3 linked regions of the Tamandua tetradactyla genome follow. The protein of the gene in region 1 purifies or fractionates together with the protein of each later gene. This does not show direct contact. Links are inferred from orthologs where the notes say so. Each region holds a gene or a part of one and is shown on either strand. Other genes may lie near its edges.

The links.
Region 2: the proteins of AP2S1 (region 1) and AAK1 purify together in Homo sapiens (affinity purification with mass spectrometry; 4 studies listed by BioGRID and IntAct, counting the BioPlex papers as one, with this or other methods). This does not show direct contact. The link is inferred for Tamandua tetradactyla from reciprocal best matches to the Homo sapiens genes AP2S1 and AAK1.
Region 3: the proteins of AP2S1 (region 1) and BMP2K purify together in Homo sapiens (affinity purification with mass spectrometry; 4 studies listed by BioGRID and IntAct, counting the BioPlex papers as one, with this or other methods). This does not show direct contact. The link is inferred for Tamandua tetradactyla from reciprocal best matches to the Homo sapiens genes AP2S1 and BMP2K.

The regions. Positions count from the first base shown.
Region 1 is NC_135342.1:14,401,428-14,411,563, reverse strand, and holds the start of AP2S1 (AP-2 complex subunit sigma), read right to left. Parts: upstream 6,644-10,136; 5' UTR 6,469-6,643; coding exon 6,466-6,468; intron 3,150-6,465; coding exon 3,000-3,149; intron 1-2,999. UniProt on the Homo sapiens protein: Component of the adaptor protein complex 2 (AP-2). Adaptor protein complexes function in protein transport via transport vesicles in different membrane traffic pathways.
Region 2 is NC_135343.1:43,107,661-43,117,796, reverse strand, and holds the start of AAK1 (AP2-associated protein kinase 1), read left to right. Parts: upstream 1-3,983; 5' UTR 3,984-4,054; intron 4,055-4,277; exon of another isoform or gene 4,278-4,430; intron 4,431-4,755; 5' UTR 4,756-4,984; coding exon 4,985-5,147; intron 5,148-10,136.
Region 3 is NC_135350.1:49,751,297-49,761,432, forward strand, and holds the start of BMP2K (BMP-2-inducible protein kinase), read right to left. Parts: upstream 5,631-10,136; 5' UTR 5,067-5,630; coding exon 4,886-5,066; intron 1-4,885. UniProt on the Homo sapiens protein: May be involved in osteoblast differentiation.

The sequences.
Region 1 (10,136 bases):
GAAGCCTAGAGCAGAGAGGGGGCCTGGTGTGTCTGATGGCACCCACCCCACTTCCTGTTGCATTTGGATCCAGTCAAAATTAGCCTGGAATTCATATATTCAGGCATTCCACAAACATTCCTGAGTAACTACTGTGTGCCAGGCCCTGTGGGTCAACACTGTTCCAACACAGCCCTGACCCTGCCCTCACTAAACTGTAATATATGCAAATATAGCCCACGAATAAATACGCCTGCTGCAGGGCCACAGATTTCCTGGCCACACAATCTGAAAATTCCCTTCCAGTCCCGCGGGGTGTGTCACACCACCTGGTGGCAACTGCGAGAGCTGACGTTATCGCTTGGAGGTTTTTACCCCCAGCCCCTCCTTTGATTAATTTCTATACTCTGAGTTCATTTTCCAAAATATTACTACTGTAATGCCTGAACACAATTCATGGGAGAAAAAGGAAGCATGCATCGGGGTGTGAAATTTACTTTTCTTTTTTTTCAACTGATGTAGATATCTGATCAAATGTTTGAAGACCGCTCCTCTAGGGGGTTCCACACTCATGAGGGAAGTCGGGACGACCAGACATCTATCTGGAGGTGCCTAATAGGCTTTCTACTCATAGGCGGTGTGACCTCAGATGAGCCCTCCTCTTTTCTTGGCATTTCCCTCGCCTGCGATCACCATCCTGGCTCCCTCTAGCCTCTTTGGCTCCACCTTTGCAGTCTCCTCTTCCTGTTTTACATTTCCAGGCTCCTCAGGGATCTGCCCCAGACCTCATCTCTTCCCCTGCTACATACTCTCAGATATGTCTCCCTCTCCACGCCAGCTCACCACTCTCAGTCCTGACCATGGTGGGCAGTCCCTGTCTGGGTTGGTTCTGTCTCCCTCACTGGGCTGTGAGCCCCAGAAGGGTAGATCTGGGGCTGTCTCGGTCACTGCTGTGTCCCCAGCACTGCCCAGCCCAGGGCCTGGCACAGTGGAGGCACACAAGGATTGGAATGAATGAATGAATGAATGAATGAGAGTATAAGCAGTGTGCCTGGGCCTTGGGAGATCCTAAGAGCTGAGGGCCGGGTCCCTGTGTGACATTCTCATCTGATTGGCCGATCTTTCTGGTTACACCTTCCTCTAGGCTGTTTCTGGTCTCTTTGGGCCTTACCAACCCCCTCCTGGTCCCTCAAATATGTATCCCTCCCGGCACTCAGCATAGGACCTGGGACTGCGTGGGCAGCAGGCTGCACCAGGAGAGCTGGTATCCTCCAAGCCCCCATCACGCTACTTCCAGATGGGGAGCCAGCCTTGGTCCTCTTCTCTTCTTTACTCTCCTCTATCCTCACTCCTTGGTGAGTTCCATGACTTTAATAAGTGATGTGCAGAAACTTCCACAATCTTGCTATCTGCCCAGCTCTCCCCCTGAACTCTGGACTTATCACTACCTCCTGGATGTCTCTGCCTAGATGTGTAATGGACACCTTGAATCTTACTGTCCCAATACCTCACTCCTGATCTACACCCACAAACCTGTTCTTTCCAAAGTCTGCCCCACTTTAAAAATGACAGCTCCAACCTACTGGCTGAAGAAGACAAAAATCTAGACATCCTTCCTGGCTCCTTTTCCATTCAGTTGGTTCCAATTCCGAAACACTTCTGCCACCTCCAGTGCTCCCATCATGGTTCCAGTGATCAATAAGACTGAGCTGGACCACTGGGGTTGTTTCCCAAGTGGTTTCCGTACTTCTGCTCTGGCTCCCATCTCACTCAGAGTCCTCACTTTAGCCCACGAGGCTCTATGCCATCTGTCCTCGTCACATCTTTGACTTTATCTCCTCCCACCCTTTCCCTGGCTTACTCCACCTCAGACATTTGGACTTCTTGCTTTTCCTAGAATGCCCGGGGTATGTCCCTGCCTCAGGACCTTCACACGTGCTGCCCCCTTGGCTCGAAATGTTCCCTCATAGAGCAGCTCCTTTTGCTCTCTTCGATTCCAGGTCTTGGAATCACCTTTTCACTGAGACCTTCTCCAACCAAAATATTTAAACTGCCCTCCACTCCATGGCACGCATGCCCCAGCACGACTCACTCCTGTGGCTGCTTAGTTTCCTCCTTGGTGTTCGTCACTACCCGAGACACCATACGCTTAAGTGTCACCCCCCATCTAGAATGACAGCAACCCGAGGGCTGGGAACTTCGTCTGTCTTGGCCACCGCTGTATCTGCAGTGCCTGGCCCACAGTAGACCCTGGAAAAATATTTGTCGAATTCTGCAGGACAGTCTGCTTGCTCTGGTTAATGTTGTGAGAACGAAAAGGTAAAGACATAGCTTTAGACATAGCAAGGAGACTCAGCAATCAAAAGCAAGGCAAGATTTTCTACTAGAGTTGAACAAGAGTTGAACAAATCATTTTTAAAAACTCATTTGGGAAAATTGGGGGAAATTTAAATATTGATTGGGCATGATAGCAATGATAAGAAATTATTATTAATATTTCCAGTACGATAATAGCACTGTGGCAACGTAAGCAAATGCTTTCATTTTTTCAGATACAACTGGACATACTAAGGGGAGAAACATTAGGGTGTGTGTAATTTAATTCAAAATGCTTTAGCAAGGGGGATGGGCACTTGGAGGTCCACTACTCTTTTCCATCTCCTTTCAGGTGTTTGAAAATTTCTATAATAAGGGTTAAAAGGGGACCAGGAAAAAAATCCTTTAGCGAAAACTGAAAAAGGTAGAGCAGATGGCAAAATAATACCAATTAGATCCGTGGCAGGTATATTCATCCTCAACCAACTTTTCACTCATTATAGTCATCTATACGCTTGCAAATGCTCACAGTGAAAAGTAAAAAGAAAAGAAAGGAGAGAAAGCTAAAAGTCAAAATGCATCGCATGCATGAGTGTAGGAAAGGAGGAGGGTCTGAAGGGTGATTGCCATCAGTGGGAGGGCAGCAGGCAGGGAAGGAAGGGGTCGGGGGCAGGTGTGTGTGTGTGTGCAGGGGGGTCCGTCACCTCCACAAAGTTGGTGTGTTTGGCATCTCGGACGGTGACCACTGCATGCACCTCCTCGATCAGCTTCTGTTTCTCATCGTCATCAAATTGCATGTACCACTTGGCCAAGCGCGTCTTGCCCGCCCGGTTCTGGATGAGGATGAAGCGGATCTGGGGACAGAAGGAGGAAGTGAGAGGCAGGCGGGTGGCAGGGCAGGGAGGGCAGGAAGGAGGGCACGGGCCAGGCAGGGCACACCAGCTGCCCCACCCACACAGGGAAGAAGGGGTCCCCCCTCTCTGCTGCTCTGTGCTTGCCCTTCCGGGGGTCTGGCCTCCCCTTTCATCCCCAGTCCTGCCAACACCCAGGGAGTGACTTCTCTTCCACCTAGTAGAGAGGAAGCCGCTAGAATCAGTCTTTACCACCTCTCATCTGCGGGAACTTGGACAAGGGCCCTATCCCTCTAAGCCTCAGTTTCCTCGCCTACAAAATGCATTTCCTAAGAAGACCTTCCTTGTCAGGCTGTTTTGAGGGTTAAATGTTTATAAACTTAATTCAGTGTCTGCCACACTGCAGGCACTCAATAAGTGTCTGAGTCCTGGCTCAGCCACTTTTTTCCCCCTTACTAATTTAAAAAAAATTGAGATATAATTCATACACCATAAAATTCACCCATTTAAAGTGTATACAATTCAGCATATCCAAAGAGTTGTGCAAAAAGCACCACTATCTAATTCTAAGAACGTTTTCATCACTCCAAAGAGAAATCCCCCAGCTTGCCCTCCGCTTCCACCCGCAACCGTCAGTAACCACAAATCTGCTCTCTGACTCTATGGATTTGCCTATCCTGGACATTGCAGGTAAATGGAAACACATACTAAGTGATCTCTGTGCCTGGCTTTTTTTTTTTTTTACATCACAATGATGTTTCTGAGGTTCAGCCATGTGGTGGCTTGTATTGACACTCCTTCCTCGCTATGGGAGAACAAAATCCCATCGCACGGCCATCCATACCACAACTTGTTTGTCCCACTCATTTGTTGATGGGCATTTAGTTGTTTCCACTTTGGGGCTGTTGTGAATAGTCCTGCTATGCACGTTTGTATACAAGCTTTTATTTGAACACCGGCTTTCAATTCTTGGGCTATAGACCCAAGAAGTGGAATTGCTAAGCCACTGGTAAAGCTGATCAACTTTTTTTAGGAACTGCTAAACTGTTTTCCAAAGTATCTGCCATTTTTTAAGTACCTTAACTGCTTAGTGCCTTTGTTTATTCATCTGGAAAATAGATTCTCATAAGGATGTGATAAGGAAACAAGAGGTGAGAAGCACTCAGCACCTGATTCAAGGCTGAGAGTAAGTGCTCAGTGTCAGCTGTAATTCTCATCTGTTCTGACGAGAGAAAATTTGTTATGACACTACTGCAAGGCCAGGTCAACCCACATAGGCTGCTGTAAAAAATCAATGAGCTAATGCCAAAAGTGCTCAGTAAAATGAGCCAGTATTATGACCGGGACGCATTTGAGCCAAATGGCTAAATGCACACATAGCGGAGCCAGAATGAGTCCCAGCATTCACTGCTAGTGAGATGTGTAACCCTGGTTAAGTCACTTAACCTCTAGGGGCCTCAGTTTGCTCTTTCGGTATAATGGACACAATAAGAATAACTCCCTCACAGGACTGCTGCACGAGTTAATAAACATAAGGGGTGTAGTATAGGACTAGCACTTGTTAAATGTCATGTAAGTATTAGTTTTTATTAGTATTATAATTCATCATTATTTGGCTTTGAGAAAAACCAGGGCCCAAACTCACCCAGCTCGGAAGCCTGCCTTTGGGCTCACTTCTGGTTGAGACAGGCATGCTTATGCCCATTTCATAGGTGAGGAATCCAAGGCACAAGGAAAGGAAGTCTCCAAAGGCAGAAAGCAGAGCTTTGCTCTGAACCCTTTTAACATGCTTTGTAGAGCCTCCATCTTTTACTTGGAGTCTCAGCCTCTTTCTTAAATCTCTTTCTCCATATGCTCTACCTCTCCTCCCCTAACCAATCAAGCTGGAAGGGAACAGGATATTACACTTTACTTCCAAGAACCTCTTCTGCTGAACCAAGGAAAACCACTTCCTGGCAGGGCAGGAAGGAGTATATGGGCATGGGGGTGGGAGAGCAGGATCCACACCAGGCAGCCACAGCCTGGGGACAGAGCCAGAGGTGCTAGAAGCAGGCCTACAGAGCTGAGGGAGGGCTCTGCCTGTCACCCCTAAGTGCTCTCATATACCTTTTCCCTGTTTCTCCTCCCAGCTAGAATCTCTCCACCTCTGGAAATCTACTCTGAGACACCCCCTCCCTCCTGTACCCTCATCCCTCTGAATGACCCCCAACCTTTCCATCTTCCCTGGAGACATTCCCTTTTTTTTTTTTTTTACATGGGTAGGCACCGGGAATCGAACCCGGGTCCTCTGGCATGGCAGACAAGCATTCTTGCCTGCTGAGCCACCGTGGCCTGCCTGAGACATTCCCTTTTGACCTTTATTTTTTCATGTTCAATTCCCCCTCTCTGACCTCAATTGGTCCTTTCATTGAGACATCCCTCCTCTGACTCAACTCCTCTCCTGTTCTAACAGGCACCATCCTGCCTTCAAGGTACTACTTCCTTGGGGAGACTCACCCCACCACACACACATCCTGTTCTGACCCCTTCCTCCATTCATCTCTTTTCCTAACTCCCTGTCCAGAGGCCCTTTCTCCTGTTCCAAAGCCCCCTCCACAAATCCAATGCTCAGTCCTTGCTCCAAGAGTACATCTACTTCCTATCCACAAAGAACCCATCTCTTGGAAAGCCCTGCCCCAATGCACCTCCATTTATTTCTAGTATTCACTCACTCTCCTTTTTGCAGCATACTTTCCCTGATTTATTTAAAGCCCCATTCCCTGCAGTGCCTTACTTCTGGCCTCTAGCATCCAGTCCCTTCCCCTGGAGATTATCTCCCTCCATCTGCAGTGTCCTGCCCCAGTTTCAACTCCATTTCCTAGCCTGCAAGGCCGGCTTGCTCTCTCTTGCCCTCCCCCCTGCCCTGTTTCAATGTCTCCCCTTCTTCCCCAACGCTCCTAACTCCTCCCTGGAGAGCCCTCCTTCTGAGACGCCCGCTCCCCACTTCCAGAGCCGTCTGCCTACTCCCGAGACCCTTCCTCGAGAGTTACCTCTCCAGTTTTAAACACCCTCAACCGCCTCCGATGTCTCCCACCTGTATTGCCCTCTTCCCTTGCCATACCCTTCCCGTCTCCAATGCCCCCTCGCTTCGGGACCCTGGCCCACCCCCGCGTGCAGAATCACGACCCTGTCCCTCCTTTCTCGATCCTAGATCAGCCCCAACCCTGCGAGCCCGCGCCGGGCCCAGACCATCGTGCCGTGGCTGGGGGCTTTGTTAGCGCCCAGGTGTCTGCACGCTGACCCCCCTCCGCCAGTCCCCGGCGTGGGCACGCCCCGTTACCATGGCGACCCCCGTCCGGACCCCAGTGGCCCAGATCCCGTGGCGACTGGGTGGCTCCGGCTCTGGCTGCTGTCGGGGGCCCAGGGCAGAGCGGACTTCCGGTAAAAGACCCGCCTCGCCCTCTCGCGCACGGCCCTCTGGGAGTTGTAGTTCCACGAAAGCGTTTGTACATCCGTACGCAAGCTATGTGGGGAAAGAGCCTGGTCCTCTTCCCAGCATGCTGCGCGACTGTCCTTTACCCACTTCCCTGCTGCATGGGGAGAGTTCTGGGGGAACATTTCCTCAGAGGACTACAATTCCCGACATGGATGACAACCATCGTAGTGAGTGTTGCCTTCTGGGAAATGTAGTTAAGGCAGAGCTCCCCTTCCCCTCCCACACGTTTTGAATAAGAAATTTGTGGTAGGAAACGAGAAAGTGTCTTTCTGGGCTCACGCAGTGCTTTGTTTTAAATATGTGGAAGGTTTCCCTGTAAGAGATGGTCAGTGGCTTAAGAGAGTGAATTTGAGAGTCAGAATTGTGTGGAAATCTTGCCCTCGCACTAGCCTTGGTGACTTTTGGCCAGGGATTTCACCTCTCCAATCTCAAGTCTTCATTTGGGAAACAGGGATTATCATAATATCTGTCTTGGTCGGGTGGTTTTAAAGCTTCGAAAAGATTCCAAAGTTAACACAGTGCCCGCCACATAAAAAGTGCTCAAGTAAAATGCTTTAACGTTATGAATGTTCACTGTTAAGCGATGTCATGTGATAGGGTTTTCTCATTCACTCCCTAGCCAGGGGTACACTAGTCTTCTTTCAGTGATTCCAATATGCAAGTGCCTTCTCACCTCAGTGCCTTTGCACTTGCTGTTCCCTGGAGCGCCTTCCCCCATAGTTTCCATGGCTGGCCTGGAATTACCACCTCTGCAAACCTACATATAAGACCCTGAATTTTTATTTTTATTTGAAATATATGTCTATATATAAAGCAAAGCAAGAAAAAAGCAATAATTTTGAAAGCTCATTTAAACAAGTAGTTACAAAACAGATCCCAGAGTTTGTCATGGGCTACCATTCCACCATTTCAGATTTTTCCTTCTAGCTGCTCCCAAACACTGGAGGCTAGAAGGAATACTAATATAGGGATTCAGCAGTCATACTTATTTGTGAAATCCCATTTTCTCTGTTGTACCTCCTAATGTCTCCTTTAAGCCTTCTCCCAATCTATAGAGATTTTGGGGGGGATGCCTCTTCTGACTTTTTCAAGTTGAGAAGGGGTGCAGGACCCTGATTTCTAATTTTAGAGTTTTTCATTGTTTAGCTTGTAACTTTCAGGAACATACTTAATGTTACTGTTATAATCCTAGATATTAAAAGTTGATTGTTAGTAAATGAGTACCTATATATTTCAAAGAAAAAAGCTCTCTCCCTCCATTTCTCTCTAGATTAGCTGTTAGTTTGGTTTCTTTATAGCTGTAATTACAACTATTAATGATTTTATTTGTCTGTGTGTGTATGTCGTCTAGATCCCCCATGAGGTGAGGTGGTGAGCTCGCTGAGAGTAGGGCTCCTGTCTGTTAACTGTTATCTTTATCACCTAGAAGATTGTCAGCACATAGTAAGCACCCAATAAAATAATTAGAATTAGTAACAAGAGCATAATTTCCCTAATAATAATCACCATATTATCAAAGTATGTAAGTTGAAAATGTGATATTGACAGAAGAACAAACACATGAGTGGCTATTCAACACAAGGGCAAACAGAGCCCAGAGATTATTCTGACTTTTGCACTGCTCCATTACCAACAGGGCTGGACTAGGGTGAACCAAGTAAGGCACCCAGGGTGTCAAATTAAAAAATCACTCATGCACAAAAAATGAGAAAAGTTAAAAGGCGCTCACTCTGAGGTGTCCACTCAGCCCTTGCATGAGGATGAAAGTGAGTGCTTCCTTAAATCGTGTTCCCTGGGCACTAAATTTGCCTCACATTCGTTCTGGTCTTGATCTCCAGGACTCATCTTAATGCCCAGCATAGGTAGCACTTGGCATTTGCTGAATGAATGAATGAATGAATGGAAGAACGAACCGGCAGCAAGAAAACAGGTACTGATCCCGCTGTGAAAGCATTCATGGCCTAGCAATGGGGCATAGGTTTAAATGATGTTACACAAATAGATAAGAAATAACAATCCTGTGATGAAAAACTACAGGATACTTTGAGTGTTGTATTGGTTCTCTGTGGTTGTGTAATGAATTCCCAAACACTTAGTGGCACAAAACCACAATAAACATTTAGTGTCTCCCAGAGTTTCTGTGAGTCAGGAATTAAGGAGCAGCTTAGCTAGTGGTCTTGGCCTGATGTCTTTCATGAGGTTGCAGTCAGCAAGTTGGCCAGGGCTGTGGTCATCTGAAGGCTTGATTGGGGATGGACGATCTGCTTCCCAAACAGCTCACTTGCTGGCCTGCACACTAGTGTGGCCATTAGCAGGAGGCCTCAGCTGCTCACCAAGTGGATCTCTCCATAAATACATGTGAGCATCTTCACATGGCAGCTATTTCCCCCCGAAATGAAGGACTCAAGAGAGGGCAAGGTGGAAGTTGAAATGTCTTTTATGATCTCATCCCAGAAGTCCCCCTCGGAAGAAGGATCAGTAGATTACTGAGGGGAGGGGACAGAGGATTCAAGCAGGAGAAGAAATGTGGGTAGAATATCAAGCAGACTTCATCTCTGTCCTCATGATCTGAGTGGCTTGGAGTCTGAGGTTAGATGCCATAGACAGACAAGAAGTATCAGTCCCAACTCTTCTACTTTAGAATGGTCCCTGGGAAAATTCTTTTCTTGGTCATGGCCATTACTATTGTAGAAAAAAAAATGAGAACAGATGAAACATGTATCAATAGGAGAGAAGTCACCTATTCCAGGATTCAGTCACATAACAAAGTATTACACAGCTGTTAAAATGAATAAGCCACAGATGTGGCCTCTAAGCTAACTCGGCAGGTGAACTCACTGCCCCACCCCCTACATGGGACATGACTTCCAGGGCTATAACTCTCCCTGACAACATGGGACATGATTCTGGGGGATGAGTTTGGGATCTGGCATCATGGGATTGAGAAAATCTTCTTGACCAAAGAAGGGGAGAGAAAAGACAAAATGAAGTTTCAGTAGCTGAGAGATTTCAAACTGAGCCTAGAGGTTATCCTGGTTATTCTTATGCATTATACAGATACCCCTTTTTAGTTTATGATGTATTGGAGTGGCTAGTGGGAAATACCTGAAACTGTTGAGCTGTGTTCCAGTAGCCTTGATTCTTGAAGACGATTGTATGACTATAGCTTTTACAACGTGACCATGTGATTGTGAAAACCTTGTGGCTGATGCTTCTTTTATCCAGGGTATGAAGAGATGAATTTTTAAAAAGTGACAAAAAAATAAAGAATAGGGAGAGGATAAGGGGTGAAAAATTGAGTAGACTGCAATAGTAGTGGGTCAATGAGAGGGAGAGGTAAGGGGTATGGGATATATATATATATTTCTTTTTATTTATTTTTCTGGAGTGATTCAAATGTTCTAAAAATGATCATGGCAATGAATACACAACTATGTGATGATATTATGATCCATTGCTTTTATAGTTTGGATGCACTGTATGGTTCATGAAGATATTTCAATACAATTTTTTTT
Region 2 (10,136 bases), on another chromosome or scaffold:
TCCAGGAATTGAACCCAGGTCTCCAGCATGGCAGGCGAGAATTCTCCCATGGAGCCACCATTGAACCAATGTTATTATATTAACTAAAGTCCATGATTTACAATAAGGTTCACTCTGTGATTTATTGTGGTACTATATATAATATAAAATTTACCATTTTAGCCACTTTCAAGTATGCAATTCAGCCGTGTTGATTACAGTCACAATGCTGTGCTACTATCAATGCTAATCCATTCCCAAAACTTTTCCATCACACCAAAGAGAAACTCTGTACCAACTAAGCTTTAACTCCACATTGCCTGCTCCCACCCCTGCCCCTGGTAACCTGTAATCTACTTTCTTTCTCTTTGAATTTGCATATTCTAGCCATCTCATATCAGTGAGATCATCGAATGTTTGTTCTTTTGTGTCCGGCTTATTTCATTCAACACGATGTCTTCAAGATCCATCCATGCTGTAGCATTATGTCAGAACTTCATTCCTATTTATGGCTGAATGGTATTTCACTGTATATACACACATATGTATGTATATACCACATTTTGTTTATCTATTCATCTGTTGAGAGACACTTAGATTGCTTCCACCTTTTGGCTTAATGATGCTATGAACATTGGTTTATAAACATCTGTTCGAGTTCCTGCATTCAGTACTTTTTTGGTATATACCTAGAAGTGGGATTGCCGGGCCATATGGCAATTCTATACTTAATTTTTAGAAGAATAGCCAACATGTTTTCCACAGGGGCTGCACCATTTTACATTCACACCGACAAAGCAAGGGGGTTCCTATATCTCCACACCCTTGCCAACATCTGTTTATATTCCATTATTTAAAAACTAACAGCCATTTTAGTGGTCGTGAAGTGGTACCTCATTGGGTTTTGATGTGCATTTCCCTAACAACGGGTGATATTGATCATTTTTTTCATATGCTTTCTAGACATATTTGTATATCTTTTTCGAGAAATGTCTATTTAAATCCTTTGTTCATTTTTTAAATTGGGTTGTTTGCTCTTTTGTTTTTGAGTTGTAGGCATTCTTTATATTTTCTGGATATTAAACCCTTATCAGATATATGGTTTCCAAATATTTTTTCCCATTCTGTGGCTGTCTTTTCACTTTCTTGATAATGCCCTTTGATACACAAAATTTTTAAATTCTGATGAAGTCCAATTTATCTATTTTTTTTCTTGTGTTACTCGTGCTTTTGATGTAAAGTCTAAGAAACCATTGCCTAACACAAGGCCTTGATGATGTTTTCCTACATTTTTTCTAGAAGCTTTATAGTTTCAGTTCTTATGTTTAGATCTTTGATCATCAATTTTGAGTTAATTTTTGAATATAGTGGGAAGTAGGGGTTAACTTCATTCTTTTGCATGTGGATATTCAATTTTCCCAGCACCATTTGTTGAAGGGACTTTTCTTTCCCCATTGAATGGATTTGACACCCTTCTCGCAAATATAAGTGAAGGTTTATTTCTGAACTTTCAATTCTATTCATTGGTTTATTTCTGTGTGGTTACGTGGCACAATTAGTTCAAAGTCAATTATTTGCTTATTTAAGTATAGGTAAGGACCCGCTCTATGTAAACTACTGTATTGGATGTTCAAGAAAATAAATAGTACATTATCCCCTGCATTCCGAGATACTTGGTTGAATTGACAATATACATGAAAAGGTGAATAGGAATGCATGGCAGATTGAGATAAATTTTACAGAAAAGCATGGTAGGAGTTTTGAGATTATAGAGTGGTGATCTGTGATTATTTTGTACTGTGAAACCAAAGAATTACTGAATGTCGTAAAAGAACTCTGGTTTTATGATTGAGAAAATAGGCCAGAAATTTTAGTGGCTTCAGGTGACATCTATGGAGTAGCAGAGGTTTTCTGTCACTTACTACTACACTGCTTGTAGATGTATTTCTAACTATCCCCAAATCTTTTCAAATATTTATATTTGCATTTTCAATATAAGCAGTTTATTGTACTCAAACACTGGGCTCTAAAGCCAAAATGTTTGGGTTTGGATCCTGGCTGTGCCTCTTACTAACTCTGTGAGGTTGGGGAAATCACATATCTCTGTGCTTCTGTTTCCCTGTCTATAAAATGGTTATATAATAGTACCTGTGTCATAGGGTTGATTTGAGGATTAAATAACTTATTATATGGAAACCTCTTTCTAATTGTGGCCTTATCATAAGAGCTATTAGTGTGTTATCAGTCTCTGAGAGAATGGAAGGAAAGGAATTGTCTTTTTTTTTTTTTCTTCTGTTTTCAACCACCTCCCTCAGATTCTGATCAAAGCAATCAGGTGGATGTTCAATAAATACACATTAGCTATCTTATCCTATTGGATAAAAGGTATATTTTTGTATTTCAGAAGGAGACTTGGGATTTGGGCAAAGGTGGTCTAACTCAGTACTATGGAAAGTCTAGAAAATGAAATTCTGAGTTGATAACAGATTCTAGGATCCAACAGCCTCCCTTAAAAAGTCAGTCAAAATTAATGGGTGTTGAGAAAAAAGTCAGTGCAAAATTAATGGGGCAATGAATGTAATTCCAAATGAGCTTTCCCTTCTATTTTAAGATCTATGCCAAACTTCCTCAGACAAAACCTAGCCTTTTAAGGGAAGTGCAGAGAAGATGCTTACCTGGGTTTGCTTTGAGGGAATGTTTTAGTTAAGTGCCTTATCCCATCTTTGAGGTGGCTGCCTAGATTTGTGAAGTGAGGCAATAACACTGACTCCTTCTGAAAGAAGAGATGCCCTCTCAACACAGGAAGTGTAATTACAATGATACTTCTTTAAATCTAATTAAGCAGCAGTAGCAGCAGCAGCTGCTGCCAGGGCCAGCCTGGTTACAGGTCGGCTCAATATTCAGATTAGAAAGAGCAAGAAGCATTTATCCCAGGGCACTCTTCTCAACTCCAAATTACTGCCAAAGAAATTCTGGGATGAATTACAAGCAAGGGGTTGTCGCAGTACTAGGGAGAGTGGAGAACAGGTGGAGGTGAGAACCTATAATCAGGGTATAGAAAAATCATGGAATATTTTGCAGGGATTTGGCACGACCTCCAGCGCCATCTATCAGGAAATCTAGGACGGAGAAGAGTACCAAGGCCTTCCAAATTTTCCGGGTTTGGCAATGCAAAGCACATCGCCCAGCCCTGTCAGCATTTAGGGGATATTGGGGCTAAATAAGCATCAAAAGGACTCTCGAAACGAAAAAAAAGTAACACAAGGTCGGCTTAGGTTTCCTTTGTGGGAGGCGGGGTTAGTGACGGTCAGGCTCCCGCATAGCATCAGCAAAGGTGGAAGAACTAAGGGTCACCGCGGACATAGGAGCCCAAAGTTTGAGGCGGAGACAACCGGCCGGGTCTCCTGAATCCCAGGGTCTGTCTGCACACAGCCTTTATAAGTTCCTCGGTTTGAGCCTCGTGTGTAGGTTCCCGAATCAGGCACTGTTTTACTGAGCGTTTTTTTCAACGCCTGGCTTAAGAGCTGACTCTTGAGCCGGCTCTCAATAACATCTGGGAGCAAAAAAGTAGCTTTCGAGATTTGGGGCAGAAGGCACCGGACGGTTTTATTTATTTTAGGCTTGGCGTTCTGCTGTTGCCATAACCATCTGCCAGGAGATTTCTTTTCCGATCACCCTCCTCCTCCACCTTCTGTCCAGGTGACGTCGGCAATCCTGGCAGAATCCGCCAGGGGCTAAGCGGTTAAGCCGCGTCCTTCAGGTGTCAGCCTCATTCCGTCTGGAAACCACAATCCCCAGGATCCCTTTTGCATGGGGCCAAGCCACAAATAAGATGGCTCCAGGGGGGTAGACCGTGCAGCGGGGAGAAATCCTGATACCTGGCAGTTTGTTTACCGGATGTGTTTAAATAACCGAATCCCCACATTTGCACCACCCAGCTAACCACCTTCACGGCGGCGAAGGCCACGGCAGGCACTTCGCCCGTTCCCCGAGGGGCATCCTGGGAGTTGTAGTCCAGCCGGCGGCGGCTCAGAACTACATCTCCCAGGGTGCCCTGCGCGCCGGGACTATCAAGGTACTTTTCCAAAACTCGGTCCGCACTGAGACCCCATTCCCTGACCCCATCCTCCCCCTAGTCGGCTGCCTCCGGTTTATCGCGACAGGGCGGCGGTCTCAGGGGAGGCTCGGCCCTGGCCGCGCAGCCCCAGAGGCACTTCCGGCGGCGGTTCACTTCCTGGCTGGGTGGATGGAGCCGGGCGGGAGCGCGCGCGGGGGAGGGGCGGCGGGTCAGTCTCCGCCGCAAGCTGGGAGGATCAGCTGGCGGGCTGGCGGGCGCCGAACGCGGCCCCGGCTCTCGCTGCAGCGCCGCCTCCTAACCGCGTCGTACGATCCGACGGCCGTGACAATGTCGCTGGGCTGGTAGCCGAGCGCTGGCCGCCGAGCCGTCTCAAGTGGGTGCCGCCGGGATGCTGCCTCGCGGGGTGGCGGGGAGGATCGGGGAGGAGGGGGAGGTAGTGCCCGGCCGGGGTCGGCGCTGCAGGAGGCGGCCAGAGTCTCTCCTTTCTCCGAGCTCGGGTCTCGGCGATCCCGGGTCTCGGCGATCCCGGGGTCCGGGCCGGGGATGCGTTTTCAGCCTCAGAGGTTTTTCTACCCCAAGATAATGCATGAAGCGTTTCCCCGGGATGATGGCTTTGGCTCCCCCTTAGGTCTCAGCAATTGAATTTTTAAGTGTGTTACTGATTCATCCTCTCTCTCTCTCTCCCTCTGTCATCACAGGTTTAAACTTACACGAATCGCTCTCCTGAGGAGGAGGGGACCCGCCGCGCGACTGACACGCATATTCCTATAGGCATCCTCCCTCAGCCCCCACCCCCTCGCCCGGATTCGGGTGGCTCCTTTCCGAGCTGAAATCCGAGAAGAAATCCTTGGATCTCTTGTTTCCCTTAAAAAAAAAAAAATCTAGAAACCATTGGCTTTTTGCTCTTTTGCTGTTCCTTTTTGCAAGATGAAGAAGTTTTTCGACTCCCGGCGAGAGCAGGGAAGCTCTGGCTTGGGCTCTGGCTCCAGCGGAGGAGGGGGCAGCACCTCAGGCCTGGGCAGTGGCTACATCGGAAGGGTCTTTGGCATCGGGCGACAGCAGGTCACTGTGGACGAGGTGTTGGCGGAAGGTACGGTGGGACTCCGTCTGTGCGCCGAAAATGAAAATCTTGCTGATACGGCAGGACCCTGGTTGTCTAGTTGAATGTATGAATGGGTTTTGACCAGTTGACCCTCCCTTCCCCCTTCTCTTGCCCTGTGATTCATTGTCCTTGAGAGATTTAAAACTGAGATTTGAGAGTGACAGGGCGTGTGGAGGTTGTGGGGAGGTTGCCGGAAATCGTTTACCTTAGTGGCCTTTTATTTTTTTAAAAAATGTTGAGAAGCCACCCTTGGCTGTCTCACCGAATTATGAGGATGAGATGAGAAAACGTATGTATGAAGGTATAAAGCTTTATATCAAATACAAGGTAGTAGGTTTGTCATCCCCATGAAAGTTGAATTATCGATGTGGAGGCTGAAAGGGTGGGGATGGGAGACCTTTAAGAAAAGAGAGGGGCTTCTCTTCCCACCCAACTTTTCCACTTCCATGGTCAGCCTTTGGAAGGAAGAGGATTTTTGGAGAATGGGAATGTGTTTTTCTAAATTTACAGCTGCCACAGCCAAGGGTTTTGCATTTGACTGGGTTTGCTTCCTGACTTAATTGTAATCAGGTTCCCAAGATGTAGTTAAGATAGAAATTATATGAAATGAATGTAGTTATTTTGAATTCAGTGTTTTGCAGGCCCTTCTTGTTTATTTTTTTAACCCAAAGAAGATTACTTAAGGTGCTAAAACAGTGCTTTTAATTTTGTTTCTCTTCTGTTGGAGAGCATGTTATTTAGATCTGCTGTGTAAATTCCCTGTGTTGTGTGTGCATCTGTAGATCTATTAATAATGTAGATATATATCTCCCCCACCCCAGGCTTTAGGGAAATCTTTGCATGTCTCTTGCTAACCTTAACCTCGACCTTCATAATTATGCCAGACTCATACTTTTCACAGCCCATTGCCTGCCTAGTGTGCTTTTATTTTTAATAAAAGCAGCAATTTCCTTGGCATGAAGCTATTCAAACTAATTGGATGGGGCCAACCTGCTGTAGGTTGTGATATAGAACTGAGAGGCAGATGGGGGAAGGGGTGGCCTCTATTACTGCAACATAGGGGAGAAACAATTTATTAGCTGGGGTATGGGGAGGAGGAGAGAAAACCAAGAGGCCCCTTTAAAAAGGAGCCTTTGGCAAGCTAAGGTTGAACGAAGGGTCCTGACCTGGGCCTGGAAGATGCCTGTCATGGTGAGTATTGCAGGCCCGTGGGCTGGGAGGAGGAAAAGGCTGTGTTTGGCTCTCTGCTTGTGTAAGCACTGAATTCAGCAGGGCCTAGTTCTCTGGGGTTGGATTGAAGCCTGTACTTTAAAAACACTGTTTTTAAAATGATGTCTGACAATTATGTCTTTGTGAAATTATTGCCCTTTTCCATTCTCACTACTGCTCTAACTGGACTTAATCTGGGGCCTGAGTCACTGTCCCTCAGGATACTTCTTTGTGGGCTTTGGTGCAGAATGGGAGATGTTTCTGTGCCCGCTGCCAGATCCGCACCCTTGAGTCTGATCTGTCTTTTTCATCCCTGTGCTAAAGCCCTTGACTGCAGTGGGGGGTGAGGGTGAGGGGTGGGGTAGGGTGGGGAGGGGAGGGAGTGTGTATGTAAGAGAAATCAGGAAAAATGAGGAGGTGCCTGGCTCTTTCCTCCCCTCAGAATGGCCTCTGCTGACTTTATAGGCTAGGGGCATTTACTTTATGTAGCATATTGTCTCCTTACAGGTTCTCCTACCCTAAGCAGTGCTGATCTCAGTTCTCAGAGATGGAGAAGAGTGATGTGGAAAAGAAAAGGGAAAAATCGGTTTTCGTTACCTAGATTGCCCTCCTCTTCCTTGAAATTTATCCCTGAGAACTGCCACATCACATATTATGATGTTTTTTATGTGGAATTTAGGACTTGCAGCTCTTCACTTATTTATTAATTCATTTGCCAAATAACTATGGAGCACCTATAATGTGCTTCACACAGTACTAGTCTCTGTATTGAACTAGATACTGGAGTTACAGACTACTTTGAGAGAGAGAAAACAGCCACTTATAGTAGAGTGGTAAGTGTTAGCATGGAGATAAGCCCAGTTTTAGGGAGCCAAGAGTTGCCTACTGGAGGAAGTGACTTCTAAATAGAACTGAGCAGGACTTAACCAGGTCTTAGAGTAACAAAAGAGAATGTGATGCATTTGGGAAGATTAATAGACTTACATTTTTTTTTTCTTTTAAAGTTAGGATTCCACAGAGGTGAGGTAGGGTTTTAACCCCTCTTTGAAGAGACAGGGAAAAGAGGTGATTGGCCTTAACTAATTAATTTTTTAAATAACTGGTTGTAGAAACCGGGTCTGGCAGTGTTACCTTCCTTATGGTCTTTGACTATAATTGAGTTTGAAATTGTGGTTCATAGAAATGTGCAGATATGTAGGGAGCAGTAGACAAAGTATGCAGCACCTACCACCTAAAAAGGCACTCCTAGGTTCTGAAAGGTCTAAAATGTGGTATCTGCCTTAAGAAGCTGCCTATGAATTTGGGAAGATAGGCCTACATTCACACATACAGTAGGGTGGTTACTAGCACTGGCTTGGAGAGTCAGAATGTCTAGGTTCAAATTCTGGCCCTGGTCTTTATCAGCTGTGGAACTTTGGGCACAGCATTTCACATCTCTCATGAGTTTCTCTACGGCAGTGGTTCTCAAAGTGTGGCGCCTGGACCAGCAGCATGTATAACTTTGGGAGCTTGTTAGAAATGCAAATTTGGGGGCTTTATCCCATAAACTGGTTGGGACTTTAGCATGTTTCCCTGAGAGATTCTGATGCAAGCTAAAGTTTGAGAACCACTGCCCCTTGGGGTAGTCTTGGAGATTAAATAAGATAATATATATAAAGAAATATTTCTCATGTGTTCAATAAATGGTTGCCATTACTTTCCAGCAACATTACGCCATATATACAGTCTGTGGGAAGGACCAGTGGTATAGACAATGTCAAGGCTACTTTGGCTGTAGCATTATGAAGTATTCATTTTCCCCCATTGTATTTGGGCAGAGCCCGTTCTTTGCAAAGACCTCACGAGGTCTTTAAAGGTTCAGTAGATATTTTGAGTAGCCTTGATCCTTTCCTCAACTTTCTCCTCTGAGTCCCCAGGTGGTGACCTGTCTACCAGCCCCAGCCAGAGCTGTCTAAGGACAGTCAGAGCTGTGTCTGGAGTATCCAAGATAGTGGCCGGGCAGTACAGCAAGGGATGGGAATAGGGGCTTCTAATACAGACCCTGTTGCTACCATCCCACTGATTATCCCTTTTGCTTTAATATGGATGTGGGACTATGTTTCATAGTAAGAAATTGCAGGAACCCCAAGGAACAGGTGCTGGAGCAGACAGGATAATATGTAGACAGGATAATATGTAGACAGCTATCTCTCTGTCACCAGCATTAGTCCTGCTGGCCTGGTTTCACTAATTAGTCCACAGGGCCTTGTTGGCCTGGGGGAAGTGAAGATTCTAAATCCCAAGTTAGTGGGTTATGGCTATCTCTGGGCTGGGTAGGATAATTTCTCTCTAGCTTTCTCTGTGAAGATGAGATGCTAAATTGTCCAGGTTAGTAGGCATGTGATGTCAAGTGAATATTTGGTTTGAGCTTCCAGTGTGTGCTCAATGGGAAAATGAAGCAGTGCTCCAAGGATTGAGAAGCTGTGTTTTCATTATACCTCCTTAGCTAAATGAGGCCTTACATCTAAGCTTAAAGCAATATTGCTTAATTAAAAAATATAAACAAAATATGTTATTGTTTGTTGAATTCCTGCTATGTCCAAGACAACATTCCAGAACTGCATCAGGTGGACCAGGTGCCCCCCAGGACAGTTTTCTTACCTACACTATAGGAATCCAGCTCTAGGGCTAATGAGGACAACTAAGACTCCATATCAGTAAACTTTGATAATTTTTTTTTACCTAAGGTAGTAAAGCTTAAAAATGTATGTGGAACCACCTAAAAATATATGTAAGGCATTTAGTTGCAAGGTGTTGGTAGTTAGCAATATAACGTATGCATGTATTAATTTAGTGAGTATTTATGGTGTCTTCTTTGTGGCAGGCACTATAATATGTTCTGGAGATAGAAGAATGGGCCATGGGACTGGCTCTTAAGGAGTTCATAGGCATCAAACGACCCACTAGCTTTTGATTTGCAGTAGATGGCCATAGATGTTTGTTAGAAAGGTGTTATGAGATGATAAAGAGAAGTGACCCCAGGATGAGGGTTTATAGATGACGTATAGTGTAAGCAGGAATGGAAATTGCCCAGCAGATGTTCCATGCAACAGTTATGCAAGACCTTCCAGGCTGAGAGAATAACATGTGCAAAGGTGTGGTGTGGTGAAACAGTATGGTCAAGTTCTGGAAATACTGACTAGTGGTGTCATTTTGGTTAACACAAACTCCCTCTTCCAGAATTGAGGAAAGGAAAACTAAGAATGGTAGAATTAAATTCCCTATATTTTGTCCCTGATGTGCTTGCTGCCCAGGACCCTTTGAAAGTAGCTGCTGAATAGCTATCAAGTATGCACTAGTCTCCTACTGGGCTTTGCCCTTTGCTAATTGTGGTGCAAGGGAGCATCTGGTCCCTAGGGAGAGAGTGGTTAGGGACGGTTCCTGGTGGAATCAGATGAGAGGCAGGGAGCTTGAAGAATTTGGACAGAAGCAGGAGAATGAGATGACCACTGGTACAGAAAGGAGTGAACAGAAGGGTGTCTGACCAGAACAGGTGGTATATGGAAAGAATAGGAAGAAAGGTTATAGAGGGTTTTGAATGCCAGTTAGAGAGGTTAGTGGTAAGCACCTAAGGTCTTCTCGACCCATACACCAATTTGATCCCTTCCACTGGGATGTCTTTGCCTGCCGGGAAGTCTGGTTTTTAGAGGCAACTGCAGATTTTCAGGGGGTGGTTTGTGAATGGTGTCTTCTTCCTGGCTTTGGGCATGATGACGGTTATAGCTTTGC
Region 3 (10,136 bases), on another chromosome or scaffold:
AAAAGGTAGGTTAAGGCCTGAGCATGGATAATCATGAATGCCATGTTAAAAAATGTGATCCTACTTAATGATTTCTCAGAAACACAAGTGTTCACTCCTCACCTTCTTGAAATACTCTCTAGTTACAAATCATCAGACTCCCCTGGTACTTCTCATATCTCTATGGAAGCTCCTTCCTGGTTTTGTCTGCTCTACTCTAAATCAGTGGTTTTCAAAATGTGGTTCTTGGACCAGGAGCAAGCATCAGCATCACTGAGCATAGTTGGTAGAAATGCAAACTTTTGTTCCTGCCCAGACCTACTGAATCAAACTTTGGGGGTCAGGTGCAGAAATCTGTATGACTTACCAAGCCCTCCAAATGATTCTCATGCACACTAGCATTTGACAACCAATGTTCCACTGGAGTCCGTCAATTAAGCCCTTCCTCTATATTCTACACTCTATCCCAGGCCTTTAATAACAAACACCAAATGTTCAGCAATTAGCAGTATCTATCTCTTGCTGAGTTCCAGACCATATACCCAAGTTCCCATGACGTATGCTCCCAGATGGCTCAACTAAACATGCCTGGAACTACTGGATATACCCCATCCCCCCAAAAAATCACCTGTTTCTTCTCTACTTTTTCCCATCTCAGTAAATAGCACCTCCATCCAGATGCTCATTCTGGACAATTACTACTACTTCCCCCCATCCAATCTACCACCAGATCTGCCCATTCAAGTCTTCTAACGTTCATCTCCACCCGCATTGCTACCATCTTGACTAGTGCAATAAGCATCTAATTTTTACACCTCTCAGCGATTCCCTATATAGCAGTGAAAATGATCTTGTAAAAAACTTAAATCGGAGCATATTGCTGACCTAACTAAAATCCTTCAATAGTTTACAATGGCATTTTTGATAAAACTCAAAATCTTCAACATGGTATACAAAGTCCTGGACTCTGATCACCTCTCCAACATCATGTTGGGTACTTCTGTGTGATTCACTCATTTTAATTCACAGATCTGAGCATATTTCCTGTTACTCTCCCCAATGTAGCACCTTCTCTCTGTATGACATGCTCCATGCCACCCTTACCCTCACACCTCTGCTTTTAGCTTATAACTTCTCTCATTCTTTAGATTTCTGCTAAAAAAATCAAAAAGGTCTTCCTTGATTCCCCCACACACATAAACTGAATCAGCATTTTCTCATAAAACCCTGTGCTTTCTCCTCATAACACCTATCAAAATTGTTAGCTACATTAACGTAGTGATTTCTGTTTAACATTTGCCTCACACACTAGACTATAAACTCCATACAACCAGAAATATATATGGTTTGTTCCCTACTGTATAAGTAGCACATAGCACAGTGCCTGGCACACAAACGGCATTTAATAAGTAGTTGCTGAGTTTAACAATTATTGACATTTTTGTGAAATTTTCTTTCTTCTTTAAAACTCTGTCCTCGCTCAGGAAGTTCAAACTAGAAGTTACTGAGTAGTTTCAGAGGATTTCTGCAAATGAGATCTCATGCTAAACACATCATCTTCCTACTATATTACAAAATCAGATGTACATCACTCCTTTATGTAAAACTAACAATTACTATCTTTCACTACCTAGACTAAATTCATTCATCCTAATCTGAGGAGTTAACTCAGAGAAAGCTATTTTTACAGAACTCTGTAGTAAACTCATGGCTTTCAATTATTGACGCCATCAAGCCCCATGCCCATTTGTTGTTAAGTATCACCCATATCTCCACATTCACACTACCATACCTATTCAGCCCTCATCACTTTGTTTCTTGATTATCTCAACAAGTTAGCACTGGTCTCTGAGTCTCTACATTCTCCATTTATTTTAGTCCATTTGTACTAAGGATACATATTTTTACAAGTCTCCAGCTCAAGAACCAACTTTTTCTCATTATCAATCAATATTAAATTCCTCTGATTAGCACTGAAGGCCTTCTTCGGCAACATTTATGATTAAAATTTTATTAAGAACTCAGAAGGTTACATTGATTGTATGTGCTTGACAAATGTTTTGAAACTTGACACTGTCAAGCTAAAATTATATATGACTCTACCTCATTTCTACAGACCAAAGTTAGGATTTGCTTAGCATACCCTTCTGATACCAAACCATTTTGAAAATGACCATGAAAATGCCTATGTTTTATCAGTCCTGCTAACTTTGAGCAGGAACTAAAAAGGTGGAAGTTGTTAGCATGCAACCATGTGGTATTTTCAAACATATCTCGTATTTGCCTAGGAAGAAATTAAAACTATACAAAGCATTTAATATATTTCAGGAAATAAACTACTCCAACAGTTAGTTACAGAGTACAACCTAAGTATACTCCTGAGAGCCTTTTATTTTAAAAAAAATCTTAAATACACATTATATATAAAAAGAGAGAGAAAGACTGATGGAGACTGACTTATTGAAAAGACTGCAGAGGTCTTTCTGAGAAAGCTACCTATATTTGCAACAGCATGGCAAAAACACCTCAGGGCACAGTATCAGCTGGCCCTGATCTTGTTCAACACTGACACAAAGCAAAAATAAAAATGTAAAATCTATCAAGTTTGTTTTTTGATCTGCCTTAGCTTTCACTACTTTCTCACTCTGTGGTATCACTCTCTACAATACAGATACTCTAATGCCTTTTCACCAGCACTTGTTCCAGTCTTTAATCAGGCAGATGTATGCGTCAATTATTAATTGATCATGCTTGAATTGAACCAGAGTTGTGTTTAAGCAAGCTGTCTAACTGAGGCATTACTTATTTTGCAGGAAAGAAGCTATTAAGCATCTGAAATCAGAATAAATCTGTCAGAATTGAAAAGTAAACTGAATACAGTTATAATAATTCCAGTTGTGTATGTGCTAAAGAAACAAGAAAGGCACAGGAAAAGAAAGCCTAGTCACTAGTGTACCCTCCAGGGAAAGCTTAATGGGGATGTGGGAGTGGGGGGTGGGGGGAGCTACAGGAGTTTCTGGTTTTTCTTCAACCATTGCTTCCTCTCTTGACTTAATCCTATTCTCTTGTTACTCTATCCAGAGATTCACCAAAACATATTTTGTTTCCTATCGTCATCTATAACTAGTATCTGATTATTGACTTTTTCAAAAGAAAGGGCAAAATGATAGCAAAAACGGTGGAACTCTAACAGTGACTTAGGGTTTGAGAAGTTATTTTTTTTGTGATTTAGTGAAAACACCCCTTTTGAAATTACTTTCTATTTTCTATTAATTTCTATCTTCTATTATAGACTTGTAAAAATACGTATTCCTAAAGTCAGTTATTTTTTATTGAAAATGACTTGCTTTGGGCAGTACTAAAATTTGATACACGCTATAAAGTCAAAATCTAGCTAGAAAAAAATGTCAATGTTTTCTTTTTACTAAATAAAAGACCCCTCTTGGATTTAGTGAAATGAGTGAACGCAACACTACCTAAGATGTACTACTTCTTAAAACCTTCAACCCAATTCAAACCACCACTCAAAACTTATATATAACATAGATCTAGGAAATTTCACAACATAGCAAATCTATCAGGACTAAGAACCACACAGTCATTCTGCTGAGAAGCTAATGATTCTTCCCTTTTCACTTTTCCAAGATTCAGGTAGGATCATCATATCCAGGCCTGAATAATTCAAGATTTCTTTCTTTTTGCAATATTTTGTATACAAAAATCTCCAGGTTTCTCTCTTGCTCTTACTTGCTGTGGTTTGGTTTGCTATTGTTCAGTCTAGATTTTCACACCAACATCTGAATATGGGCAAACCACAGCTACTTTCCTCCACTTCTTTTCTCTTAACTTTGGAACTTAAAAAGATTACTTTAAAAGAAATTATCTCTGGGCAGGCCACCGTGTCTCAGCAGGCAGAGTTCTTGCCTGCCTTGCTAGAGACCAGGGTACGATTCCCCGGTGCCTGCCAATGCAAAAAATATTATTTCTTATGATTGTTTAAAGTATTTATTTGTAGTATCATTTTGCAATTTAATAACCTCAAAATCAATGTAGTGTACCATAAACGAGAGAATTTACTATAAGCCACCTGTACAAGAAATATAAGACTAATTTGTAGGATCTCGCTCTCTTTTCCTTAATGGAGTAAACTTTTTGTAAGCAGACTTGTAACTGCTGTCACAACCTGTTAGAGAGAATGAAAGATGGATCACAAAACTGCGCAAGGATAAACTAACCTTTTAAAGTGCTACTATAGAAACATACTGGAAGAGCATGAATAAGCACCTTGTGTGATAGAAAAGATTTTGAATTAACACAGATAAAGGGCTTCTAATTTACCTGCTCTCCCAAAGTAACCTACTAACTGAATTTAGGGCAAAGTACCACCTCCAGCCCCCCTACCCTCACCCCATCGGTTGTTTCAAACTGATGACAGAGCAACAGCAAAGCCAGACTCCACGACTAGGGACTGCAGGGTCCTGCGCCCTGCGGCGCGGGACTCAGAAGAAACCAATGCATGACACCCGCCTGAACCACAGCTGGCAAAGCGGAGCCTCAATCTTGCTGGATCTGACCCGCTAATGAGTCACTGGTCCAATCATGACACCACCTCACTTGCTAGGACGTTTTCTATTTATTTCCTCGCGTCAAGGACAGAAAATGATTTAAACTCGTAATGAGAGAACGGGGCACTGATCAAAGCTGCCAGCGGAGAAAAAAAAAAAAAGGCAGCTTAAGAACGAAAGTCCGAGCTACTTAAGAAACCCCTCTGGGCCACAAGAGGAGGTAGAGAGAAAGAAGAGTGGGCCAAGAAGACCAGGGGAAAGGCCGGCGAGGATCGAGCGAAGACACCGCCACACCCCAGCCCTCCCTCACCTGCCTGGCCGAGACTCCCCGGTGCCCGTACCTTCGGCCAGCGACTCCTCCAGGGTGACCTGGTAGCGCCCAACCGCAAACACGCGGACCCCCAGGGACGAACCACTTGAGCCGGAGCCGGCTCCGGCCACCACGACACCAGCCGCACCGCCGCTGCCGCCGCCGCCGCCGCCGCCGCCCTCCGACTTCGGCATCCGAGAGAACTTCTTCATGGTCCCGCCGCCGCGCTGGAGAGCGGAGCGCGCAACGGAACGAGAGAGCTAGCCCCCAGTCCGGCGCGCGGCCAAGCGTCCGCGAGGGGTCGCCGCTCCTCACGCGTCCGAGCGTCCCTGCGCGTTGCGGCCCGCCAAGCCTCGCATTCCGCACACCAAAAGCACACAGCCCCGGCCCAGCCGCCCGCTCCGCGGCTTCGCTGCAGTTACCCCACTCCCGCAGAGGGTGGCGGGGAAGGCGGGGACGGGGCGGGGCGCGAGGGGGCGGGTCCAAGTGCGGGGGCTACACCGCCTCCTCCCCCAGTGCCCCCGGCGCTCCAGCCGCTTTGCGAAGCGGTAGAACCGCGAGCCCAGGAGGAGGGGGTCAGTGAAGGAGACAGAGAAGGGCGGTCAGCCCCCCCCCGGGGAGTGAGCTAGACCTTTCCGGCTGTACACCCTCAGGGCTGCAGCCTGAGGCGCCGCCGCCGCCGGAGCAAGACCCGGACCCTCACCACCACCCGCCACTCGTGGCTGTTGGCAACGCGGCACCGCTGCCAACCGCTCGCTGAGGCCCGGCGCCCCGCGCAAGCGCGCTATTCGCCAAGCCGGAAGTGACGGTTTCAGCTCTTGTCACGTGGATGGAGAGCCGTGGAGGCGGCTGTGGGGGTTGGGGACGAGGGCGAGGTTTGGGGTCTGGGTTGAAGAGGGTTCGGGTTAAACTGTGGGGCTCAGCTTCGCACAGGGGCGTGGTCCAGGGCTCGATTTCACCGCTACCCTTAGTGAGTGTGTCGTCTCGAATGGGAAGTGGTCTGTCAGTATGGGGGCTTAAAAATGCCGCCAATAGCTTAACCTCCACTAAGGAACTTTTTCACTTTCTAGGCCAGTTTTCCAGACACCTTCCCGCCCCCCGAAAATCTTCTCCCTCTCACCCACTATAAGCGTGAGAAGTAGAAGCAGTGCAGAATTAGAGCGGATTCCAGAAACCCGACTTCTAAAGCCACGGTGTCGTCGCGCTCTTGCAGACGCTTGTGCTGGGAATTGTTTTGTAGTTTATAAATACTTGGGAGTACTTTAAAACCCCATGTGTGCTGTCCAGCAATCGTGTGAGGTATTCAGAACAGGTATAAAGTCCGCTTTACAGACCATTCATCACCTTTGGCTAGAAGTTAACCAATTACCTTAAGATCACAAAGCTGGCTTGAGGTAAAACTGGAACTAAAACATCCATCCTTTTTATTCTTGGTTCCGTGATTTTGCCCGTTTTGAAAAAGTAGGATCAGAGTGTCGAGAACTTTGCAAAACAGGCAAAATTAGAACTATCTGAAAGCAAAAACAGCCATTGGAATCCCCCAACCCCACCCCTCAAAAGGCGATCTGTTCATTTTTAAAAATTAAAAAGCCTTATTGCAACAACTTAATAAATTCTGCAGGAGTCTCTTGTGCATGCAGGGGTGAGGCAGGCAATACGAAAGCGAGAAAGAAGCTGGGAACAAGACGTTAGGGAGTGTCGGAGACTGGTAAATTCGTTCCTCAGTTCCAATCTACTTTTCCTAATGCAATACAGGTCCACTGTGGCCAGAGGCTCCAATTTCTTAAGGGAGGTATTTTAGGCTGAATAAATCGTGCCTGCACGACTTCAGTATGTTCTTTCTGTGGAAGTAGAGAAATGTGATTCTATTCTCCCCAATTTCCTCTACCATCTTCATCCTCACCCCTCTTTCTTTATCTGACTTGGGATACAGACAGAAACGTTAGAAAACGTGCTTAGACAAAAGAGACTTTGAACTTTAAAATTCTCTTTGCCTTCTTCCCATTTATTATTTGAAGAGAAACTAATTTTTCCCGTACTGAAACAGTGCTGTGGACTTAGGCATATCTGCTAAATAACCCACTAAACTAAGTTTTTCATCCAGAGACTTGACCTTTAGTACAAGCCAGCTCTACAGACGTCTGGCTATATATCAGATGACTGATGTGGCAAGACAATTGGGGATTTCCATTTAGAAATAAGCTGACCACTTTCCTTACTGTGGGGATTCACTGTGGAGTCTCATTCCTGCAATATTTGAATTATATTTTCAAGCAGAATAATGGAGAAATTTAAACATTTTGTGCCATTCAAAACCGGAATCAGCCTAACATAAAAAGTTTGGACTTAATTCAATTTTATCAGAGCCCAGCATAACGAGAATAGAGAATAAAAGAAAATCGTTTCTAAAATGTACCAATATAACTCAAGTTTTTATATTGAAGTTTATAATTAAAATAAGGCATATGGCTCCTGTCAAAAACTAAGGTAACTCCAAACAATGTTCTTTAAATTTTCGCCAAACATATAATAAAAGTTGAATACCCTCTGATCATCACAGAATGTTAATGCCACAAAACAGTTATTGCTAAAAACAAAAGAATGCCAAGTATTTAAAAACATCTTTAATATCAAAAAGGTGATATCTATTGTCAGATTGTATCCTCTTGGCAACTTTGTAAATTAAGAATAAGAATCCTTAACCCAAATTTAGATTTGGATAGTTAATAAAAGTAAAAGAAAATTACATTTCAGTTTTTTTATAGATAGCTCAACCTCTCAAATGTATACAGCTGTATTGCTATCAAAATAGTTGGAAACTGTTTATGCAGATTAGTATGATACCTTGATACATCCCAGAGTAATTTAGGCAGAGAATTAAAAAGTGTTTGCAAAGTCCCCTTGGGGGACTAGGGAGAAAGTAGGACATATTCCACTTGCCCATCTGGGAAATTCCTGATATTCTCACAAACAGTGAGGACAACCAATTCAATAGGCAGAGCCCTCGATCTTGGGTTTTGCCTTTATGAAATTTATTCCTGCAAAGGAGAAGCTAAACCTACTTATAATTAGGCCTAAGAGTCACTCCCGGAGAACCTCTTTTGTTGCTCAGATGTGACCTCTCTCTTGAAGCCAACTAGGCAGGTGAAAATCTCCCTGGCAACGTGGGTAGAGCCAGGATCCAGCATCATGGGATTGAAAAAGCCTTCTTCACCCAAAGGGTGAATAGAGAAATGAAACAAAGTTTCAGTGGGTGAGAGATTTCAAATAGAGTCAAGTGGTTATCCTTGTGGAAGTTGTTCTTATGCATTATATAGATATCCCTTGATAGTCTATGATCACTCCAATGTGGCTAGAGGGAAGTACCTTAACTGTTGACTATGTTCCAGTAGCATTTTATTGATTCTTGAAGACAATTATTCAACTATATAGCTTTTACAGTGTGACTGTGTGATTGTGAAAATCTTGTGCCTGATGCTCCTTTTGTGCAGATTATGGGCAGACGAGTAAAAAAAAATAAGGTAAATAAATAAATAGGGGGGATAAGGGGTAAAAAAAAAAAAAAAAAATGACCACAAGTTGAAATACTAGTGATCAATGAAAGGGAGGGGTAAGGGGTATGGACTGTATGAGTTTTTTCTTTTTCCTTTTTACTTCTTTTTCTGAAGTGATGCAAATGTTCCAAAAATTATCATGGTGATGAATACACAAATATGTGATGATACTGTGAGCCACTGATTGCATACTGTGGATGGACTGCATTGTGTGAAAATTTCTCAGTAAAAATATTCTTTAAAAAAATAGTTGGGAACTAACCACATAATAAAGATTTTTTTAAAAATCTAAATGTTACTTTACTTTGCAAGATTTCACATTATTCCCACAAAGTTAATAGATCATGGTAACTGAAAGATTCTGAAATACTTAAACAATGTTGCCAGTGAAGAGAAATTAATATTATAGTTTTGTTTTCTACTTGAAAACTACAACCCTTGTTTTAAGCCCCATCTACTTTGCATTAGGGTGGGTCTCAAAGATATATGTGGAATGAGAAAGACTGACATTGAACAATATGTTTAGCCCAAAAGGCTTATTCCAATGCCATAATTACCTTGATAAGTCATCTCTTCCAGTGCCTGATTAATCATTTTCCCTCCTTCTCCTTTACTTTTGATGATGTATCTTCTATCGTTATTGGCCTCACTGTGTTTAACTATCAGGAATAATTACTCTCCTTGCCTAACATTATTAATTATACCTCATTAAATATCCATATATTTCCCTAAAGATTGAGAGAAGGATCAAAGGAGGAGGCATTATATCAGAAAAGATAGGATTTTGAGTTTGACTACTGAGTCATTATATTGATATTTCTGTTTAGTCTCCAGTGTCCTGGAGCAGCTAGAAGAAAAAAACTGGAATTGTAGTACCATAACCTATAGCTAACTTTGAAATCTGTTCTATAAATACTTGTTAAAATGTACTTTAAGATTTATTGCTGTTTTGTATACATGTTATATCTTACAATAAAAAAAGTTTACAAAAATTTTAAAGTCCATATATTTGCCTTCCAAAAAGTAAAAGTTTTAAAGTCCATTAAAAGGATATATACATGTCACAATATTTAAATGGTATTTGAACATCACTGATACTTAAATCCTCTATTAAAACTACTCATCATCCCTGTCATGTGAAAATTTACATATACATCTATGAAAAATTAATCTGATTGTATAGTTTAAAATTCTAAGCTGCTCACAAATATTCTTAATAGGAAAAATTATTCATTTGACATGAAATACCTTTCTATGATTATTTTCTTATAATTTTCTTAGAACTTGACCATACTTTTAAAAAGGCCACAGGAGGTAGGCAACTTCGTCACTAAGAGATCCCCACATAGCTTAATGGAGGAGCCTCTACTTCCAGAAACAGAACAGCAGCCTCGAACCTCTTGGCAGCAGTAATTTCCTGAGAAGTATTTGCCCAATGTGGGATAGCAATCATATTTCTGTGTGTTCTACCCTGCCTACCATCCTCTTCTTGATTGCCTTTACATTTTCTCTTATTGCCGACTTACTATCCCACTCCCAGTTTCATTTTTATAAAACTTTAGCAGAGTTTAAAATGAGAGCTGAGTTTTTCCAGGTCAAGATGGCGGCTTAACAACGTGCGCATTTTAGTTCGTCCTCCAGAACAACTACTAAATAACCAGAAACAGTACAGAACAGCTCCTGGAGCCACGATACTGACCGGACACACAGTGTACCCAAGTCTGAACC